Canis lupus familiaris: one gene and its partner. The protein of the gene in region 1 binds, or shares a complex with, the protein of each later gene. Links are inferred from orthologs where the notes say so. Each region holds a gene or a part of one and is shown in the gene's direction. Other genes may lie near its edges. The genes, in order: AP2M1 and P2RX4.

Region 1 (10,735 bases):
ACCGTAGCGGCAGTGACCGGCGGAAGGAGAAGGACCCGAAGGCGGGGGACTCGAAGTCGGGCGGCAGCGGCAGCGAGTCGGACCACACAACCCGCAGCAGCCTGCGGGGGCCTCGGGAAAGGGCACCCAGCGAGCGCTCGGGTCCTGCCGCCAGCGAGCATAGCCACCGCAGCCACCACTCAATGGCCAGCAGCCTGCGCAGCCACCACACGCACCCGAGCTACGGCCCCCCTGGCGTACCCCCTCTCTACGGTCCCCCAATGCTGATGATGCCCCCACCGCCCGCGGCCATGGGGCCCCCAGGAGCCCCACCGGGCCGCGACCTGGCCTCCGTGCCCCCTGAACTGACCGCCAGCAGACAGTCCTTCCGCATGGCCATGGGAAACCCCAGTGAGTTCTTTGTGGATGTGATGTGAACAGGACCCCTCCCCTACTTCCGTCCCACCCCTACACCTGGGCGGCTGCGTCCCTCTCTCCATCCGTCCATCTTTTTTACTTTGTCTGGTACCTGAAAGGGAAATAAATTGAACTAAATTCAGGCGCGCTAACTGCTCGCTGGGCGCAGTGAGGGCGGGGTGCACCCACCAATTGCCGCTGCGGCCCCTAACCTGCCACCGGACCCAGCTTGTCCCTCTACCCACTAACCGCTGCGCAGGACTCCCAGGACCCTTCATGTCACTGGGACCCGACTTGCTGGTGCTGCTCCTTATTCCCCACATACACTTCAAGAATTGACCCCCGCAGACCCCCTGAGGGCCTGTTCACCCCTTTATCCCCACGTTTCTCCCCTCAGGAACCTCGCACCTTTCCTTCCAGCTACATCCACCCTTCATTAACCGCATCGCCTCCAGCATGTGTGCCAATCTCTTAACTTTTTCCCTGCACTACTGACAACAAAAAATACTTGCTTCATCCACCCCCCCTCTAACTGCCCAACCCACCCTACTCCACCCCAGCCACTGCTTCAGTGCTGCATCCTAGAGCTGTGGTCACTTCCAGTAACCATCCACACTATCCCAGCCTGTGCTAGCCTTTACTAGAAGCCCAGAAAGGCCTCCTAAGTTGCCTGAGCTGCTAGCAGCTTCCAGGAAGCATAACTGTTCTACCCCTATATCCATACTCCCCCATGCCTGCTGTATGTGCTGGTTCCATCAGACCCCTAACCCTACTAACCAGGCTCATCTCACCTCTGGGCCTGAAACATTTCTTTTCTTTCTTTTCTCTTCCCTCAATTTTTCCTGGGCCTGGAGCAGCCAAGAATTTCGGGCTGTTTGACTTTCTGTGAGCCCCCAGCAAAGGGAGGCCCAGCCTCCGAGGAGACCAGAAGCCCTGCTTCAGCAGCCCCTCAGGGCTTCCCAAGGATGTTCAGCTCCCACACCTACACTTCAACATGTTGAGTCACTAGGCTTTTGTGGAGGGCTCCAAACTCTCACCCATGTATGAGAGACTCTGTTCCCCTTTCCCGAGAGTGCCCCATCTCTCTCTCTCTCTCTCTCTCTCTCTCTCTCTCTCTCTCTCTTTCTCTCTTTCTCTCACACACACACATACACACATGTGCCTACGCAAGTTCACTTAAGCCTCAGGGCTGGTCCCTACCCAGAGGGCCGGACCCTCTCTCCCAGGTCGTAGGGCTGGTCCCGACTTCCCTGTCCCCTCCCTTATAGCCCTCAAGCCTCCCACACATGTCCCCATCATCCTCCTACCTGGATAAAGCTCATAAGCTGGATCTCAGGTTAGGCTCTGCAAAGGACTTCCCAAGCAACTGACAGGTTGTTCTCACCCTGCCCCTTACCCCACACAACCTTCTGTGATTTCACAATCACTATGATACCCCAGAGAAAGGTTGGGTAGGGGGACTTTTGGGAATCCTGAATGCTAGGTTTTATTTTTTACCTTATTCTCCAGTTTAAGCAAATCATGACTTTCTCTTTAAGCCTCTTCTATAAATTCTCCTGGCTGACTGAGGCATCTATATTTTTAGGACTGGGGTGTCAAGAGTAGGATTCAGTCTTAAGCTCCAGGCTCTGGGGCAAACCAGGGTAGAGATATTTTGGCATTTATTCATTTAACAAGTACTTCCTGGGGTATTTGGTGACCAAGGGCTGTGTTGGAGGCATGACTCAGTCTTGCTTACGTTCTAGGAGCTCTAGATTTGCTCCCAACCAAGGCCATGGCTTTCTCCCACCACTACAGGACTGGTTCCTATACTTTTCCTTTTCTGATTCTGCCTTGTTCAACTCCCTTGAGAATTCCTCCACTATTGCTCATGCCTTCTATGTTGGTGCTCCCAGTGTTCCATCTTTGGTTCACTTCTCTTTCCTCTAAGTTTACTACCCAAATGGTGTCATCTATCCTGATGTCCTCAATTGCCACTGATACACTGGTGATTCTAAAATGCCTATCTCCAGCCACAACTTCTCTCCAAATTTTAGATCTGTGTTATCCACTGGACGTCACCATGGACATATCTATATGGACTCAACTCATTTCCCCCATCAAGTGTGTTCCTCCTTAATTCCAACTCTGATGATCTTTAGCACAGTCTACATAGGCATACCAGCTAGGAACATTTATGGACTTAAATTCTTCCCCAACTCTTACTAGTCAGCATATCATATCCATTCCACTTCAACAGTCTTTCTTGAATATGGTCCTTCTTCTCCCCCCGCCTCTACCCTAATTCATAGGAGCACGGGATTTGGAGTCAGGTTGTTCTGGGCTTGAATCCCAGCTCTACTACTTTTTGGTTTCGTGATAAGAGAGTTACTTAATCTCTCTGAGCCTCAATTCCCTCATATGTAAAATGATGATAATAATACCTACCTCACAGGGTTGTTGTGAGGATTTAAATTAGACTTGTACGAAAAGTGCCTAGCACAGTGCCTGGCACAGAGTAGAATAGGTGCTCAATAAATGGTAGCTATTATTATTACTACTACTACTATTATTATTTATTCTAAATTGGTAGGGTATTATTGATTGAAGATAAAGCTTTTGGAAAGGTAGCAGTGAAGATCTGAGTGCCGGTTCAAGATTTAGAAATGCCTGTATTCAGTCACTTAATGGATTCACATGGTGACCACTGTTTGAGGAAGGCCAGATCTTCATCCTGCCACATTCTGGCTTCTAGCAGGAGGATGCTGGGACAGTAGGGTTTGTAACCAGGTTTGCCCTTTTTTGCCCTTCCTCCCATGATGGGCTCAGCACCAGTGAAGGCATAAGGGAAGCTCTCCGTACAGAAAGAGAAGAGCTAACATTTTCTTCGGGTCCTGTAAAAGTCAAGCAGGGCTTTCATATCTGAGGGTTTGCTCTGTCTTTTCTTCTCAGCTTGGGTGTGAAGATTAACTCTGTTCATTAGAGAAGGGATTTCAAGTTCCATGTCCAGCTAAACTTGCCAGCAGTTTTTTAAGCAACATATATGCCATCACTAGAAGGCACACAGGTCCTGGCCTCAAGGGGTCACATAGGTATGTGTAGTTGGGATAGAACAGACATTCTTGAAAAGCTTTGGCTAGTTTCTTACAAGTATTTGCCTCCTCCATCTTTGCCCTTTTACTTGGGTCTTGATCCCTGGGAAGAGGCTCACATCTGGAACAAATATTTGATGAAAAGTCTTGGGAAAATCAGAGCTGGTGTTAGAAAGCAGTAAATTTAGTGCAAACACTTCTGCCAAGTCGTGTGTGTGTGTGTGTAAAGTGAGCACAGCCAGTGTTCGGACTCCAGAGACGGAAAAGGCCTACAGCAATCTCAAGCTTAACAGATGGGCTTCAACAAATGGCATTAATCCTCCGAAGCTCTCCTAGACGCTGAACAGGATGGATTGCAGACTACAATTCCCAGAATGCTCGGTAGGGAAAATGAAGCGAGTGGAGCGGAGTATGATGGGATGTGGCCACGCCTATCCCTCCCCAAGGCACGCCTAACCCGCTGAAGGCAGTCGGTAGTTGTAGTCTTCCTAAACCTAGAAAGGCTAAAATTGTAAGCTAGAAGGCCGAAGGGCCTGACGGGATTTGTAGTCGGCTCGGTCGCCGGACGCGCACGCGCAACTGTGTTCGGGGCGGGGCCACGGCACTGCGGTGAAAGCCGAGGCAGCGGGCTGGCGAGCAGGGGGCGGGCGGACATCTTGGGATCTGGAGAGTGGCCGGGCGGGCCGAGCAGGCGGCCGCGGACGCCAGGTAAGCTCGGAATCCGGCGGAGAGTAAGGGAGAACGCGTACCCCGCTACCCAGCTTTGCCCTTCCCTGCACTGCGCTGCGCGAAAAGCTGCCCACAGCCGGGAGGGGCCTCAGCCTTCTGATCTGGAGCTGACGGCGGGGCGGGGGCGCCCGGGGCGCGGTTGCAGGGTGGGCAGGGAGCGGCGCCCTCCACCGGCAGTCCGGCGCCTTCCGTGACAGGGAGACCTCCTGGGGTCCCCCCGGAGCCAGGATGCCGCGCGGCGCCCCCTTCCTCGGGATCGTGACAGCCCCCCTGGTGCCTTGGCGCCGCCTCCTCCCAGCGCAAGGACAATTCCCCCATCTCCTCGACGGTGACACCCCCTCGGGCCGTCTCCCTGGGCTGTGACAGGCCTCCCACCAGCCGCACCCCCTCCCCCCAGTTGAGTGACACCCCTCGGCTCTTCTTCCTCAGACCTGTGACAGCCCCCGCAGCCCCGTGGAGCCATGTTCATCCCCGCGATGTCTTGCTCCCCTAGACGAAGAGCCCACCCCCCGTCATGCCTCCACACTTGAACCCTAAAGCAAGTTAACGCCGCCCCAGCTTTCCCCTATTCGCCACTTGTCAGTCTCCTCCCTGCTGTTTCAAAGTCTTGACCTTTGCCACACTGGAAACTCCTTCCTCCAGATGTCCCCGTCCCCCCCCCCGCCCCCCAGCCCCCAGCCCCAGCCCTCTTGCTGCTGCAGGTTCACCTGACTAGACCGCCTGGCTCCTTCTGCCCGTCCTTCCCCTTAGCTCAGTATTCCCCTCCTGCCCTGGGCCCCACCTCCGCTCCTTCGGTGCCCTGCGGCCCCTACCACTTGATATCTGTGAACTTGCTTCTTTGCCCGGGGCTCTACCTCCCATTTTTCATTTCCTTTCCCAGCCTTTTTTGGGACTCTGGGGTGGAATGTGTCCACCACCACCTTGAGAGACCTCTCACTGAGTTGGGGAGACCCTGATGGCCTCAGTAATAGGGCTTTATTTTCCAGTTTAGAAAAGTCTGCTAAACTCCCTCTGCCCTGTAAAATCAATACCAGAGCTAATTCAGGAAATCTAGAATTAAATTAACCCTTTTTCTCCTTGCAAATATTTTGACCCAAATAATTTGGATAATGCACACCTATTCTCTGCCCCTTCCTTATAGGTACTCAGGCCAGAAATGAGTTATGTCATGGTTCTGGAATCATAGAATGTCAGCTGGATTGATCTTTGTGTTTTATAAACCTGTACTCCCACCCCCTTATTTTTACTGCACTTGGGAACTGAGAGGGATCCTCCCTTTTTGAAAGGGAGGTGGTTAAAAATAACTAATAAGCAGCTTGGGTCATTGAAGTGTAGTCGGCCAAGGCTGGGCCCTTTCTCCTCTGCTCTTTTGCCTGCTTATCTGACTGCCTGGGATTGGTTGGAGCCACACTCCAGGGTCTGTGTCAGGGCCTAAGGCCTCCCTTGTCTCCTCCCCACACCCTGCACACCCTTTCCTGGAATGTTTAGACTTCTGTGAATTAGAGAGCCACAGGTTCAGGCCCTGCTGTCTTCTCCGAAGGGTTAGTGGAGCCTGAGAGACCGGGTGCTCCTAAAGCCGTGCCTGGGGGCCCCAGGCCTGAACCAAGTGGAATAATTCCTACCGCCATTCCTGCAGCCGCAGGCAGGCCTTCCCAGTGACTCACCGGCTAGAGTCTGAGTGAGAGTCTGCACAGGAAGGGGCCAAAAAGGATCTGTGCTGAGCTCAGCACTGAAAAGAGGGGGAGGGGGCTACACTCTGGGCTCAGCCCCAGGAAAGGGAGGGTCAAAATGGCCTTAGAATCCTGGGCCCAAGTCCCTCTCCATTTCTTTCTCCTTTCCAGTGTGAGATAAACAGGAACTGGAGCCTGGCTAAGGGGAGGGGCATGCCTGGGGAGGGCTTCAGGGTCACTTACTGGAGGGTTGAGTCAGGAAAAAAAGCCCAGCCAGTGACCTGCACAGCCCCACAGGGGATGTTGGCAGAGGTTCTGAGGCCTTCCCTTACCCTGCCTCCGCCTGTCCTAGGTCTGTTCTCAGAGCGATGGGCCTTGGAGACTGAGCTGCCGCCATGATTGGAGGCTTATTCATCTATAATCACAAGGGGGAGGTGCTCATCTCCCGGGTCTACCGAGATGACATCGGGTGAGTCCCCTGGCTGAGCCAGCTGTGTCCCCACCCCTCATCCCTCCTCCCCAGCATGCAGGACCAGGTCCGTTCCTACCAGAGACTGGACTTTGGCCACCCCCATCCCTCGCTGCATCTTAGAAGCTCAGCTAATACAATCTGGTTCCCATTAGGTCTGGTGGTATTGGCCTGGCAGCCAGTTATTGGCCAATAGGTGGGACCTGTGGAATGGTGTGGCCCCCCACAGTCTTAGGAACTCTTGTCCTTCCTGCCTTCTCCTTTCCTTAGTGACAGACCTAGTTGCTAGAAATGAGTGCTTTTGCCCTGGTAGATGAATTCCTCCCTTGAGGAGGAGGGAGATCTTTCTCCAGGGGGTGAAGTTAGTGGACAGGCTAGTGGTACTAGTCCATCTAAGTCTTGCTCTCAAAAGCCCTTCTCACGGTGAGAGCCTTCACTGAATTCTCTTGAAAGCTTCTCCAGGCTGCCAAATCCTCTCCTACTCCCTTTCTCAGGAGGAGGCAGGCTGCTGACTCAGCTGTTTTCAGTTCCTCTGGGCCACTCCTAGAAGAGAGGTTGTGAGCAAGCTTGGGGCACTCTCCGGGTCACTGAAGGAAGGGCAGGGAGGCCATGCTGCCCTTCCTGGCCTACCAGAGTAGACCCGGAATAGCTCCTTGTTCTAGGTCCCTCAGACCTTAGCAAAGAGACACAGCCTGCCTTCTCACTCTGCCCCACACTGCATGCCACTATTCTTTCCTGAATGAGAGGACATGTCCTAGCCTCAGCAGCTCTAATGAGATTAGGCATCTCTGGTTCATGCTGCCCTGTTTTTCTTCCTCCAAGAGCTTAGGTTAAAGAGTTATAGGATGGGCCTGCTGCAGAGCCCAATAGCTTCTTGGCTCCCAGCTCCCTGGCTAGTGGGCTGGCCTGGCCTTTGTGGCTGTTTGTCCATTGGCTGGTGGTAGGGCATGAACTAGAGTTGTGGCAGTGCCTGGCTTGCCTGAACCTGGCTGGCTATACCCATCCACACCCCCTCCTGCCTGCCCTGGATGGACCTGCTTAAGCCAGGGCACCTACTGTCTTGCATGACTTGCTATGCTTTCCACCCCTTGCCTCTTGCTCGTCTGCTTCCACTTCATGGTGTGTGCAGCCTACCCCAGGATGTTGTGTGTCTAATCCTCTCTCTCGTTGCTGTCACTCTCCTCTTCTTGCTGGCGTCATTTCTCTCATCCCATCTCATTGGCTGCCGTAGCAATAGGTAAGCAGCCTGTCAAGCTGCCGCCCAGGCACAGGTGGGTGGGGGGCCCTGCCCCCCATCATTGTTTTCTTTGTCTGTTTTCATTCCCTGAACTTGTCCTGGAATTGGATCCTGGACGGGAACAAATGGCCCAGCTCCATGGCCCCTTGGTGCTTCTTCCTTAGATTAGATTAGAGCCTACTCTGAAGTTATGCTGGCTTTGCCTCACTTCTAGAAGAGCCAGACCTCCCACTGGTGGGATCACAAGTGGGAGAACTGAAGAACAAGCAAGTTGTCTTTGTCATTTGGGCCTCGAGCTTACTGAGAAGCTGGAGAGGTGGCAGCTGGGAAATTGGGACCTCAGCAGGCCTCAGGCCTCAGCATCAGGAACATGCCTCCTTAAGTGTGATGGACTTCACTTTATTAACACTATACCTGTTCTCCTGTCATTCCCACCTGACTTACCTGTCTCTGGTGGCCTTCAGACACCAGCCCAGCTCTGGTCCTATTCCCATGCTGGGAGCCACAAGGGAACTGCCCCAGTAGTTTAGGCTTTGGCTTCAGATTCATAGTACGTGTCAGACTTAAGCAGTGAAGGGATGAAAAGTTGTTAGCAGCTGTGGTTGATCCCCATGGAGTGGGGTTTGCCTGGGTGCTGAGCAGCCCCTGTGTACTCTTTTCCCTTAGGAGGAATGCAGTGGATGCCTTTCGAGTCAATGTTATCCACGCCCGGCAGCAGGTGCGCAGCCCCGTCACCAACATCGCTCGCACCAGTTTCTTCCATGTTAAGCGGTCCAACATCTGGTTGGCAGCTGTCACCAAGCAAAATGTCAATGCTGCCATGGTCTTCGAATTCCTCTATAAGATGTGTGATGTAATGGCTGCCTACTTTGGCAAGATCAGCGAGGAGAACATCAAGAACAATTTTGTGCTCATATATGAGCTACTGGATGGTGAGGCTGGCAGGGCGGTGGGCCTAGGGTGGGGATGAACCTGATGGGGCCTAGCCTGGAGGTAGGAGCACTTGTGAGGTTCCCTCCAGTGCCCTCTCAACTTTCTTTCCTGAATATCTGCTCTTTTGAGCCCTGAAAAGGCCAGTCTAAATTCAGCCCCAAAAGAAGCTCTGAAGTAGAAGAAATAGTGAGTGGAGGTGGGGAGAGGGGGCAGAGAACCAAAAGATTTTTCAGGGGGCTAGGAACCTATCTGGGGCTTGGTAGCTGGACCTCCTACAGTTAAGCATGTTTCCTTCTTACCTTTGTAGTTTGGGCCTTAGTTCACTGACTGTCCTTCCAGCTTTCTATCTCAACAGGCTCTGCCTCAGAGCCTGAAGGAGGTTGAGATATGACCGGCTTCTGGGGTTGCATTATCTTTGTTCCTTTGTAGGGTATGATTGAAAGGAACAGAGTCTTTCTACCTTCCCAGGGTCTGTTTGTTTTCTAAGGACTCAGAGCTTCTTGATCTCTCACCCACTGGCCATAAGATTCTTCTGCTCATTTTCTCTGTGAAAAATATCTGATGTTTTAATTGTTGTCTTATGAAGCACAAATCTCAAAGTAAATGCTACAAAGCTAGAGGACATTGCTGCAGATGATCCCACACTCTTCTAGAGCTCTGCTGGCCAGATTTGTCCAGGCCAAGGGAGATATTGGACTGAAGGAGCCTTCAGCTTTTTCCAGGGCTGATAGTTCCCTTCCTTTTGCAGAGATCCTGGACTTTGGCTATCCACAGAATTCAGAGACAGGAGCACTGAAAACCTTCATCACTCAGCAGGGTATCAAGAGCCAGGTACTCCCTTGTATAGCCACAGCAAGGGTTGGGCCCATCCTCCTCAAGCTCCCCCTAGCCTTGTCTCCGCTCACTCAAGAGCCCGCCTCTACCAGGAAGCACAGGCCTGAGCCCTCTACTGTGATTGCAGGCCAATTTTGCTGCATGTGGCCCTCCACCCTAGGAGCAGCCGACTCAGCATCTCTGTTACTGGGAATAGGGTTCAAACAGTTTCCTTCTGTACTGGGGGAAGGAAGGGTGTGGGCTGCCCTGGAGGCCTGGTGTTCCTCGGGGAGAGAGCGTGGGCCTTCCTCTAGGATACAGGCCTTATAGCTGCCCTCTCCTTCTCTTCTGCCTGCCTCTTCCCGTCTGTGTCCCCCTACTGCTTCCGGTTGGCATCACATTGGCCCTTTGGCCTCCAGCATCAGGTAAGCTGTTCCCTCAGCTTCTACCTTTACAGCTTTGATCCAGTTTTCTTCGGGCCCTGCTTCATGGAGCTTATGAAAGAGATGAGTTACAGGATGGGGACTAGAAGGGAGGGGGAGTGAGAGTGGAGTAGGGACAGAGACGGGATCATTGAAGGTGGAGAGCAATGAGGCCATTAGTGTTTTTCTCTGTCCCCTCTGTGTAGACAAAAGAAGAGCAATCCCAGATCACCAGCCAGGTGACTGGGCAGATTGGCTGGCGGCGGGAGGGCATCAAGTATCGCCGGAATGAGCTCTTTTTGGATGTGCTGGAAAGTGTGAACCTCCTCATGTCCCCACAGGGTGAGAGCCCTCTCGTGATGAAGCTGGAGGGGCAGGACCAGGGCAGGATCCTCGTCCTAACTCAGATGTTCCCATGTCTATCCCCAGGGCAGGTGCTGAGTGCCCATGTGTCAGGCCGGGTGGTGATGAAGAGCTACCTGAGTGGCATGCCTGAATGCAAGTTTGGGATGAATGACAAGATTGTCATTGAGAAGCAAGGCAAAGGCACAGCTGATGAAACAAGCAAGAGGTGCCTGAGGCAGGGTTGCTGGTGGGAGAGGGTAGACCTTGGAGGGCTCTGTGGGGCCTGGTGAATCACAGGTTCCTTCAGGATTATCATTTCTGCAGTAATGCAAACTCCCACTTTCCAAGGGTGTGCTTGGCTAGTTGCTTTTGACATCTGTGCTTAAGAGAGATGAGAGGATTGTCCTCATCTTAAGGAGTAGGTAGGCCCTTTGTTTGATCCCCAGGACTGAGACTGTTTTATATATACTGATGGCCTCTCCCCAGTGTGCCTGAAACCTCTGGGTCCCAAGCAGCAGAGTTCTCCAGAGGTGGTGAGCTTACAAAGCTCACACTTATCCCTAAGTCAGCATCAGGGAACCCTGAGGCAGAAAGCTGCATTGGGATAGCTTCCCAGCCCAACTCTCTCGTACCAACGAGGAGACCTTCTG
Region 2 (9,942 bases), on another chromosome or scaffold:
CTCAACAAACTGTGCCAACCAAGCACTCCCAGTGGAAGATGATTTTTAAGTGTACCGTGATTCATAAAATAATATGAGTCACATGGAAAGACATTCCCATGTTCATTCATGTTCAGCTTCTGAGCTTACTTCTATCAAGGAGGAAATCCTGGTTTGGGGTATCTTTTGTCACTTGCTGATTTCCATTTCTCACAAGGAATAATCCCCAGATTCAGCATCTTGGGCAAACTAATATTAACTACAACATTTAGTAGTAATGTTGTTTTGATTTTATTATATTTATTTGAACAGTGACCTCTGACTTGGGGCCAATGATCTCTTGTTTGCCATTTCCATCTCTCAGGATGAAAAGTTTTATTTCAAGATGAATGCCAGGGCACCTGGGTGCCTCAGTAGGTTAAGCGGCTGCCTTCAGCTCAGGTCATGATCCAGGACTTGTCCTGGGATCGAGCCCCACCTGGGGCTCCCTGCTTAGCAGGGAGTCTGCTTCTCCTTCTGCTTGTGCTCTCTCCCTCTCTCTCTCTCTCTCTCTCTCTCTCTCTCTTGATGAATGCCAATATAAAAAGTGAGTTGATCCTAAAAGCAGAGTTGATTCTAAAAGTGGAAACCCATATGTCCATCAACAGAGAAGGAGATAAACAGATTACAGTTCATCCATCTGAGGGAATATGACTCAGGCATAAAGAGTAGATGAGACATAGGCTGAGCGAGAAGTGGGCTCCCTCTGGGGAGCCCGATGTGAGACTCAATTCCAGGATCCTGAGATCATGACCTGAGCTGAAGGCAGACACTCAACCACTGAGCCACCCAGTTGTCCCTCACCTCAATTATTTTTTTTAAAGATTTTATCTATTTATTCATGAGAGACACACACAGAGAGAGGCAGAGACACAGGCAGAGGGAGAAGCAGGCTCCATGCAGGGAGCCTGATGCGGAACTTGATCCGGAGACTCCAGGATCACACCCTGGACCGGAGGCAGGCGCTAAACTGCTGAGCCACCCAGAGATCCCCCCACCTCAATTATTTTAAAACAGTGAGTCAATCTTTAAAGTATTGCAGATGAGGGGTGGCTGGCTTGCTCAGTGGGTAGAGCATGTGACTCTTGATTTTAGGATTAGGAGTTTGAGCCCCCACACTGGGTGTAGAGATTACTTAAAAATAAAATCTTTTTTTTTTTAAAAAAGTATTGCATATGAGATGAACAGATGTGGAGGGAAAGTTCAGAAATCCCTGATACAATGCATCCCTCTTGATCCAGAGATGAGGGAGTTTGAAGCCCTGGGGAAAGTGCCTTGGTCAAGGCCTTCCTTGTCATCAGCAGTGACAGATTCGGCTCTCTTTGCTGTGTCTCAGGGTTGAGTAGACTATTGATACAGTTTATAAACTCAAAGATTCCACCTGGATCAGGGGAACACACTCAAAGGAGCTTGCCTACAGCACTGGATTCTCCTGTAGAAACCCATCAAAGATGTGGTGTCCCCTTGGAGACAGATTCAACTTGTACTGTCAGCCAGGAGCTGACGTGGCACTTGAGAGCCGAGGCCCTGTGCCAGCAGACACGTGACTTCTATGTACTTTTGAGATGAGGTCAGGATTTACCTTCTCAGTGAATTTACCTTTGCTTTACTTGTAAAACCAGATCTGTAGAGCATTCCCAGGGAGAATGGAGAATGCCTTAGGGAAGCGAGCTCTGAAACCCCACAGCTACAGGCTGAATAGTTTCCCAGGAAGCCTCTAGGCATCACCCTCCTTAACTATTCCTCAAGCTCTTAAATTCCCCCTGCCTTCTGCAAGAGGCAAGAGAGGAAGAAATGGAAAGGCTTGGTTTAGTCTCTGCTGATCTAGTGTTTATGCAGAGGACAGTAAAAAATGCTTGAGGTGTTTCACTTTTTTTCTTGACAAAATGACATTGTAAGGCACATGTGCATATGCTTCTTAAAAATATTACGTAAGGGGATCCCTGGGTGGCGCAGCGGTTTGGCGCCTGCCTTTGGCCCAGGGCGCGATCCTGGAGACCCGGGATCGAATCCCACATCGGGCTCCTGGTGCATGGAGCCTGCTTCTCCCTCTGCCTGTGTCTCTGCGCCTCTCTCTCTCTCTCTGTGACTATCATAAATAAATAAAAATTTAAAAAAAATTTAAAAAAATATTACGTAAGAATGGGAGTATATGTATATTTGTACTTCTATTAACAATATGCTATGATTTTTTTTTCAGACCTGCTTTTCTAAAGGCTGCAGAAAACTTCACTCTTTTGGTTAAGAACAACATCTGGTATCCCAAATTTAATTTCAGCAAGTAAGTGGTGGCCAGCCATGTGAGTTCACAGAGTTTTAGAGTAACTTCTGACTCTACTTGGAGGTTTTCTTCGTTTCATTTCTGCTTCTTCCTGACTTTAGGAGGAATATTCTTCCGAACATCACTACAACCTACCTCAAATCGTGCATTTATGATGCTGTAACAGATCCCTTCTGCCCCATATTCCGTCTTGGCAAAATAGTGGAGAGCGCAGGGCACAGCTTCCAAGACATGGCCATCGAGGTAGACACAGGCCCCTGGATTTTCTGACAGTCTTCAACACCTCTCATTCTAGAATGGGCCTTGAGGAAACCTTGCTCTGTCTCTGCTCACACCCCACAGGGAGGCATCATGGGCATTCAGATCAACTGGAACTGCAACCTGGACAGAACCTCCTCCCTCTGCCTGCCCAGGTACTCCTTCCGCCGCCTGGACACCCGGGATGTGGACCACAATGTGTCCCCTGGTTACAATTTCAGGTAGGTGTGAGCTTAGGTCCCAGTTCTCTTGGGGGGGGGGGGGGTGACGGCAGCTGGATCACTCCCTGGTCCCCATCCACGATGGTCCATACCCATCAAGACCAGCACTCATTCGGTCCCCCAAGGACAGGTGGGAAGGCTGTATGCCAGGGAGAGTGTTCAAGCAGAGCCTTGTGCTGGCAGTATCCTGGCCCCTAAGAGCCCCCTGTGCCCCTCCTTATCTCAGAAATCATGTTGAGATAATATGCAGAGCAGCCAAGAGAGGCTGGCTACTTGAGCTTCCCAGGGCCAACCTCAGGTAGGACTGGCTCACTGATTCTGAAGAGTGGGTGAGGAATTAATTTCTCAAAGACCGAGCCTGCCCTGGAATCTCCAGGGTACTGGGGATACAGGTTTAAGCCTCAGGAAAGGCCTTCACTGCTATTTCCCTGCTCAGAGTACCATATATTAGTGTTCTGGGGCTGCCTTAACAAATTACCACAAAGTGGGTGGCTTGAAACAACAGGAAGGTACTCTCTCTCACAGATCTGGAGGCCAGAGGCCCAAAATCAAGGTGTCCACAAGGCCAGCCACCTTCTTTGCCTCCTCCGGTTCTGGCGGCTCCTTGCAATGTTCGGTGTTCCTTGCCTTATACACCCATAACTCCTGTCTCTGCCACTGTTGTCACATGGCCTTCTTCCCTCTGCGCAGCTCTGTGTGTCCTCTCCTCATAGGGACACCAGCCATATTGAATCAGAATCCAAGCTAATCCAATATGAGCTCACCTTAACTCACTCCATCCACAAAGACCTGATTTCCCTACTTCCACTTCACATTCACAGGTTTCAGGTGGACACAAATCTTGGGTGATGGTGTTCAGCCTGGTATAGCTAGTAATTTGATGGAGGGGACAAGGGGCCAAGGCCAGGTTTGCCACTTCCATGAGGTGGCAAAACCTGTAGCCATGTACATTTTCATGTGCCCTCTGTGGCCTCTTTTGCACATTTTACCACTCTTAAACAAAGCAGCCCTTCCAGGGGCCACCTGAGTAGGTCTGAGGCGCTTTTGTGTTGCCCTTGTCTCCCTCTAGTGGTGACATGTACAATCAAAGACACAAGGGATCATAAGACTGTCCAGAAATGCAGTCTGCTATCATTTTGACCCATCTGGCTCACTGATACTAGGAGAGATATTTGAATTTTCCTAGGAAAGGAATTAGATGTGTGTTGCTCTCTCTCTACTGTTACAGTTTAGAAACTATTGAGGAAAACCTCAAGCGTGGGTCAGAACTTCAGGACAGAGAGAAGCTGATGGGGGCCCTCACCAGAAGGGCACCCATGCATCTGACCTCCGCTATCATCAGGCCCCACCTGAATTCCCCAGGCCCGACCAGGATGTGGAGGCTCTGGGCCAGACCGTTGCAGGCCAAGAGTTTAGGCTTCTCTGAACCAGTGTCCTATTTAACACGGGCAGCAAATGGTTTCATGGTTCAACAGTGCTCACCACCATCACCACTCCCCCTTGTGGGGTTTTTTCAATGGCTTTATTGAGATATAGGTCACATACCACATAGTTCATCCACTTAAAGTAAGGGATTAGATCGTTTTTAGCCATGAAGCTGTAGGACTATCACAATTGTAGAACATTTCATCACCTCAGTGAGAAACCGCATACCCTTCAGCCATCCCCGGTATCCTCCCGTCAACCTCTGTCCCTGCCAACCACTGTCTACTTCCTGTCTCTCTGGACCTGCATATAAATGGAGCCACACGGTGTGTGACTTGCTCCTTTCACTCTGTATCATGTTGTTTTGGTTTTTTTTTTTTTTTAGGTTCATCCATGTTGTAGCATTTATCATTACTTTATCTCTCTTTACAGCCAAATTGTGTTCCATTATATGGATATGCCACATTTTATTCATTTATCCATTGATGGGTCAATGGGTCTTTTAAAAGAAAGTCCAGTGCTGAGTCTGTGAGTTCTGTGGAGTTTCATGGCCGGCTCCATGCCCCTGCCCACAGGCAGTCCTGGAGTTTGCTGCTGCCTGGCCACATTCTGTTAGTAGCCAGGATCTCCTTCAGACAGGTAGGCGACTCAGCTCTGATATGGAGGATATTCAGCGTGAGAGGTTCTGGCTCAGCCATAGGAGGCAACAGTGATGTTAAAAAAGTTTTTCTGGCATCCTCCTGCCAACAGCCCAGTTATCACACTGTGTGACCCACAATGGCCGGGGGTTGCCCCAGATGCTCAGGTATCATCTGTCCAGCGGGTAGTGCTGGCTCCAGAGGGCCTCCGGGAGTTTTGCTCTAATGTCCCCCACCCGAGACCCAGAGGGTGGATCCAGCCACCTGTCTGTCTCTGCCCTGTGCCTTCTGCCTTTAACCCATCCTCCTTTCTTTTTTTTTTTTTTTTTTCCATCCTCCTTTCCCTAGGTTTGCCAAGTACTACAGTGACCTGACTGGTGCTGAGCGCCGCACGCTCATCAAGGCCTACGGCATCCGCTTCGACATCATAGTGTTCGGAAAGGTAGCCTGGCCTCCTGCTCCTGTCAGGGCTCTGGTCCAAACCTAGGCTTCTGGGTTGGCCAGGGACGAGGGGCCCCCTCCCTCACCTTTTACCTGCTTATGTCCTCTATTGCAACTTTTTCTTTTTCTCCTGTCATTTGTAGGCTGGGAAATTTGACATCATCCCCACCATGATCAACATCGGCTCTGGTTTGGCGCTCTTAGGGGTGGTGAGTGACTTAGCCTGCTCCTTCACCCCCGGGGCCTGGAGCCCTCCTCAGCAGTAGTTAGCACAGCAAGATGAGCCCCTCCACTGGCATCCGGGTTCTTCCCCTTGTCCCTAAACTCTTTTCTAGAATTGACCCTCCAGGCTTGTTGCCCTTGCTGCCACCTCACCTCACCTTCCCTTCTCCAACACCACAGCTCTCTGGGCCTTGCCTTCTCCTGAGAGGTGAAGCCTTTCCTTTCTTTATTTTTTATTTATTTATTTATTTATTTGAAGCCTTTCCTTTCTTTGAAAGATTCCAGGCTTTTTGGGAAGGGGCATGCATAGAATAATAAACTAAAGCATCTTGGCTCATTCTTTCTTGCCCTGTGTCACACTCAGGCAACAGTGCTATGTGACATCATTGTCCTCTACTGCATGAAGAAAAGATACTACTACCGGGAGAAGAAATATAAGTATGTGGAGGATTATGAGCAGGTAGGCCACCTCCTGAACTCTAGAAGGCAGGAAGGCCCAAACACCTGCCTCCTCCACCTTTTTTGTACCAGTGGTGAGCACCCTGAGTACTGGGCCAACTAGGGGAGGCCCGAGCACAAAGGTGGTGCTATTTGGGCCTGTGGTCAGCCCAGGCGGCTGCACACCACTCATTCTCTGCTCCACTTCTAGACCGTCACTCTTTAAAATCTAACCTCATTTTAATTAGTGACATCTCAGGTTAGTTATGATAATGAATATTATGACAAAACCCCACACTACTTGAACTTGCCTCGCATAGCAAGAGGGGTTGGGTCCCACGCTTTGAGACCCCCTGCACTAGGACTAACCTGTATATGTTCAGTTGTGAAGAACTGCCCAAAAGTCCTGGCTCACACCTGCCCTGAATGGTCCAGGCTTACCTGTGGGCAGCACATGGTGGGTACACATTTATCCATAAGCATATCAGTCAATGATAAGCATATCGTCCTTTGCAGGGTCTTGGTGGAGAGATGGACCAGTGATGCTTACTCCATACCTGGGCTCCCCACAGTCCTCATCAGAGCACAGCACGGAGAAAAGGCTGCTATGTCACCTCAGGGAAGGTTCCAGAGTCTGAGTCCATCTCCATTGCACAAGGACATCATGGTCACCCAGCTGTTTTGTGTGTAGGATGTGCAGAGTAAACCACCCTGCACAGTGGGTTGCCTCAACTTGGGGATGTTCAGGTGACCTCTGGCCCAAGGGCAGTGGTGAGTGCTACTGCCACTGCAGGGGCTGGGGCCTCACCTAGGGCCAGCCTTCCTCAGGGGCTCCCAGCTCCAGCTCCCTGCAAGACAGGCCCAGCTGTGGTCAGGCAGCCTTGTTCAAGCACTTTACAAGGGAAGGAAGGACAGCTAGGTGTGGTCACTAGACCTTGAGCACACCTGGGCTGCTGCTTCCCTCCCCCATCCATGCTGTCACAAGACAGAGTCTGTATATCCTCTGAAAGAAGAGGCATATTGATGTGGTCGAGGACCAAACATTAAAATGATTTTCTCAATCTCTGCCTGGTTTCATAGCATGTAACTAGAATTTTCCTCCCTTCTCTTTTACTTCAACCCGTAAACCCATCTGTTGTCCCAGTTCACGGTGTTCAGAAAAAAACTTCTTGAGTCTGTCTTTGGAGCTTAGGTGTTTTTCCCCTGACTTGACCTTCTCTTGAAGGCCTTAAGAATTTTGATCTTTCTGAGGTTGTTGTGTTCCTACAGAATTTGCAAGATTTTGTACCGTGGTGACTACTTGTCTTACCCGCACATGCGGTTTTTTTGGTTTTTGTTTTTGTTTTTGTTTTTTTTTACCTATAATTGTGACACTACACTATGGAGGACACAATTTTAGGTAACAAGAACATGGCTTATCCTCCCCCCCCTCCCCACTTGCTTTCCAGAAGTCTCCAGCTACAAGCAGCACCACCTACACCTACTTTGAAATGTTAATAAAGTTATTTCTAGCTATGCCTTCACACCGACTTAATTCTGCAACAAGTCTTCAGGAGCTGCTTGTCTCCCCCCTCCCCCCCATATCACGAATTCATTTCCAAGTACTAAAGGGAACGTTTATTTTAGAAGTGCCTGCTTCTGCTGGATAAAACTGGGCTTTTCTTGCTTCGGGGCGGGGGGGGGGGGGGCAAAAACAAAACAAACATTTAACAAACCCCTTTGAAAAAGCTCTGGCTTGTGCTGCCTTTTTCTTTTTAAAGATTTTATTTATTCACGAGAGACAACAGAGAGAGGCAGAGACATAGGCAGAGAGAGAAGCATACTCCTGCAGGGAGCCTAACGCAAGACTCAATCCCAGGACCCCGAGATCACAACCTGAGCCAAAGGCAGACTCTCTACCACTGAGCTACCCAGGAACCCCCGTGCTGCCTTTTTGAAAGAAAGAAAAAAAAAAAAAAAAGCCTGCTTGAAACACATGGATCAAGTGGAGCTGGAATTTTTTAGGGACAGTTTTTCATCTGGCAGGCTAAGAAGTGATAGTTAACAGAGTGGGGGAGACTTCTCTTGGCCTCCTTTTTTCTCAAATGTAATGCTCAGGCCAGCTGGGGTGCAGGATGGGGAAAGGATTGCTTATTTTACTCACCATTCAGCTATATTCCCACTGGCTGGCATTCCCCAGGCTGCTGCTTAAGTAGGGGTCCTTCACCTTTGCACCCATGGACAGATTTCCAGTCTCTGGAATTCCTAAACTCTGCAAAGTGATGCACCTGTCTGCATGTCTTAGAGCTTTCATTCAATTCTCAGTGGAGTCTTTGGATAGGAACACCTGCTCTTGACTCTTAAAGACCAGTATTCCAATGTTACATTTCTGCAACAACAGAACAAGGAGCTTTCAGACTTCATCTGCCATCCCTTTTACCAAAAAACCTGAGCTCAAAGCCAATAAAGCAATGTCATGGGCTAGATTCACGTTTGGAGTGCAGGGAACCCCCAGCCTCTAGCCTGAAGGACGCATCAGTTCTAAGTCTCCAAATGCCATGAAAACCTGCAACTGGGGCACCTGGGTGGCTCAGTGGTAGAGCATCTGCCTTTGGCTCAGGTCATGATCCTTGGGTCCTAGGATCGAGTCCTGCATGGGCTTCTCACCCAGGGAGACTACTTCTCTCTCTGCCAATGTCTTTGCCTCTCTGTGTCTCTCATAAATAAATAAAACTAAAACAAACCAACCTGCAACTGTCCAAGCTCTGTAGAACACTGCATTTGCTATCAAAGTTGGAGCCCTTGGACAACTGACTTCACTTTCCTGAGCTTCACTTTGCAGGTAATAATCCATAAGATGGGATAAATACCTACCTTGTGGGGTGATGTGTCCTAGAACATGCCTGCTCGCAGGATGTGTTCCATGTGTAATTAATATTGCTCCCGTAGCTGCTCACCTGGTTGGTCTCCAAAGAAGAACTAGCAATTACCTGCCTGCTAAAACAGTGCTTCTCAGACTTCAGTGGGCACACAAGTTACCTGGGGATCTTCTTTAAATGGGGTCTGGGAACTTGCATTTCCACCCCACTCCCAGGAGATGCTAACACTCCCAGTCCAGGGACCACACTTTCAGTAGCAGGATACTAGGACATGGTTACACTGACAATGAATAATATAATGCTGAATATGTTATACTGACGTGGACATCTGATCTCACAAAGGAAGAAAAACAGACATAAGGATGGATGTCCTAGAGATATCTATAAACAATGACCAGCAAAAATATCCCCAAAAGGCCTAGGCTTTGCACCATTTTGCTGTTTATTTCAAGTTTACAGAGAAGCTTAAACATCTGTGGAAAAACACCAAAGGCTTATTTTTCTCTTAAATTCATGTACTTTTAAGTGATAAATACACAGTATTTAACTTTGTACACCTGATAAAAGGAAAATGCATAGTAGAAAGGATCAGGAATAAAACAGAAGCATCGGGCATTAAATCAGACACAGAATAGAAAAGTTAGCAGTTCTGCGAAACTCGGCCCATAAAGCTGCAAAGAGGATGGGAACTGACGACCTTGAAACCTTCTCTAGCACCTTGGAAACAAGTGGAGGTCATAGTTCTTCCCCCCAGCAATAGGAAGCTCTGCTTTGGAAGATGAGTGAGAGCAACAGGTTGAGCCCACTTCAATGCTCAGGTGTTTGCCTCTTTGTTCCAGAAAGGGTGGGAGCCCTAACTCACAGGAAAGCCAGACCACTGGGGAGACAGCCTCTCCAGCCCCCAGGGCCGTCAAGGGGCTAGCTAAGGCTTTCTCGGAGCCCCTGGGAGGGCTGTGGAAGAGATGGTAGAAGTGGAGCAGGACAGAGGATGTTGGGGCAAGAACCTGTGCAGGCCCCAGGTTGCTTACACCAAGTTGGTCCCACAGATGAGCCAACAATGGAAGAAACTGCCAGGGCACCCCTTTTGCTCACCTGGGAAAGCTGCCCATGATGGCTTCTCCCCCTTCCTGACAGAGCCAGCT

What was found.
Region 2: the proteins of AP2M1 (region 1) and P2RX4 are in contact, whole or in part, in a crystal structure (PDB 2BP5), measured with the Rattus norvegicus proteins. The link is inferred for Canis lupus familiaris from reciprocal best matches to the Homo sapiens genes AP2M1 and P2RX4. Residues at the interface, in NP_446289.1 of Rattus norvegicus: Phe174, Leu175, Asp176, Lys203, Asn217, Leu316, Ala317, Gln318, Lys319, Glu391, Val392, Pro393, Lys400, Val401, Arg402, Tyr403, Leu404, Ile419, Lys420, Trp421, Val422, Arg423, Tyr424, Ile425; in NP_113782.2 of Rattus norvegicus: Val375, Glu376, Asp377, Tyr378, Glu379, Gln380, Gly381, Leu382, Ser383, Gly384.

What each region holds. Positions count from the first base shown.
Region 1 is NC_049255.1:17,238,779-17,249,513, forward strand, and holds the start of AP2M1 (AP-2 complex subunit mu), read left to right. Parts: upstream 1-4,056; 5' UTR 4,057-4,175; intron 4,176-6,218; 5' UTR 6,219-6,261; coding exon 6,262-6,335; intron 6,336-8,238; coding exon 8,239-8,504; intron 8,505-9,253; coding exon 9,254-9,336; intron 9,337-9,737; coding exon 9,738-9,743; intron 9,744-9,946; coding exon 9,947-10,082; intron 10,083-10,169; coding exon 10,170-10,311; intron 10,312-10,735. Other genes in the region: DVL3 (segment polarity protein dishevelled homolog DVL-3), read left to right, coding at 1-390, 1,254-1,285.
Region 2 is NC_049247.1:8,127,620-8,137,561, reverse strand, and holds the end of P2RX4 (P2X purinoceptor 4), read left to right. Parts: intron 1-2,218; coding exon 2,219-2,299; intron 2,300-2,400; coding exon 2,401-2,542; intron 2,543-2,641; coding exon 2,642-2,778; intron 2,779-5,189; coding exon 5,190-5,283; intron 5,284-5,425; coding exon 5,426-5,491; intron 5,492-5,868; coding exon 5,869-5,964; intron 5,965-6,458; coding exon 6,459-6,485; 3' UTR 6,486-7,003; downstream 7,004-9,942. UniProt on the Homo sapiens protein: ATP-gated nonselective transmembrane cation channel permeable to potassium, sodium and calcium. CTP, but not GTP or UTP, functions as a weak affinity agonist for P2RX4.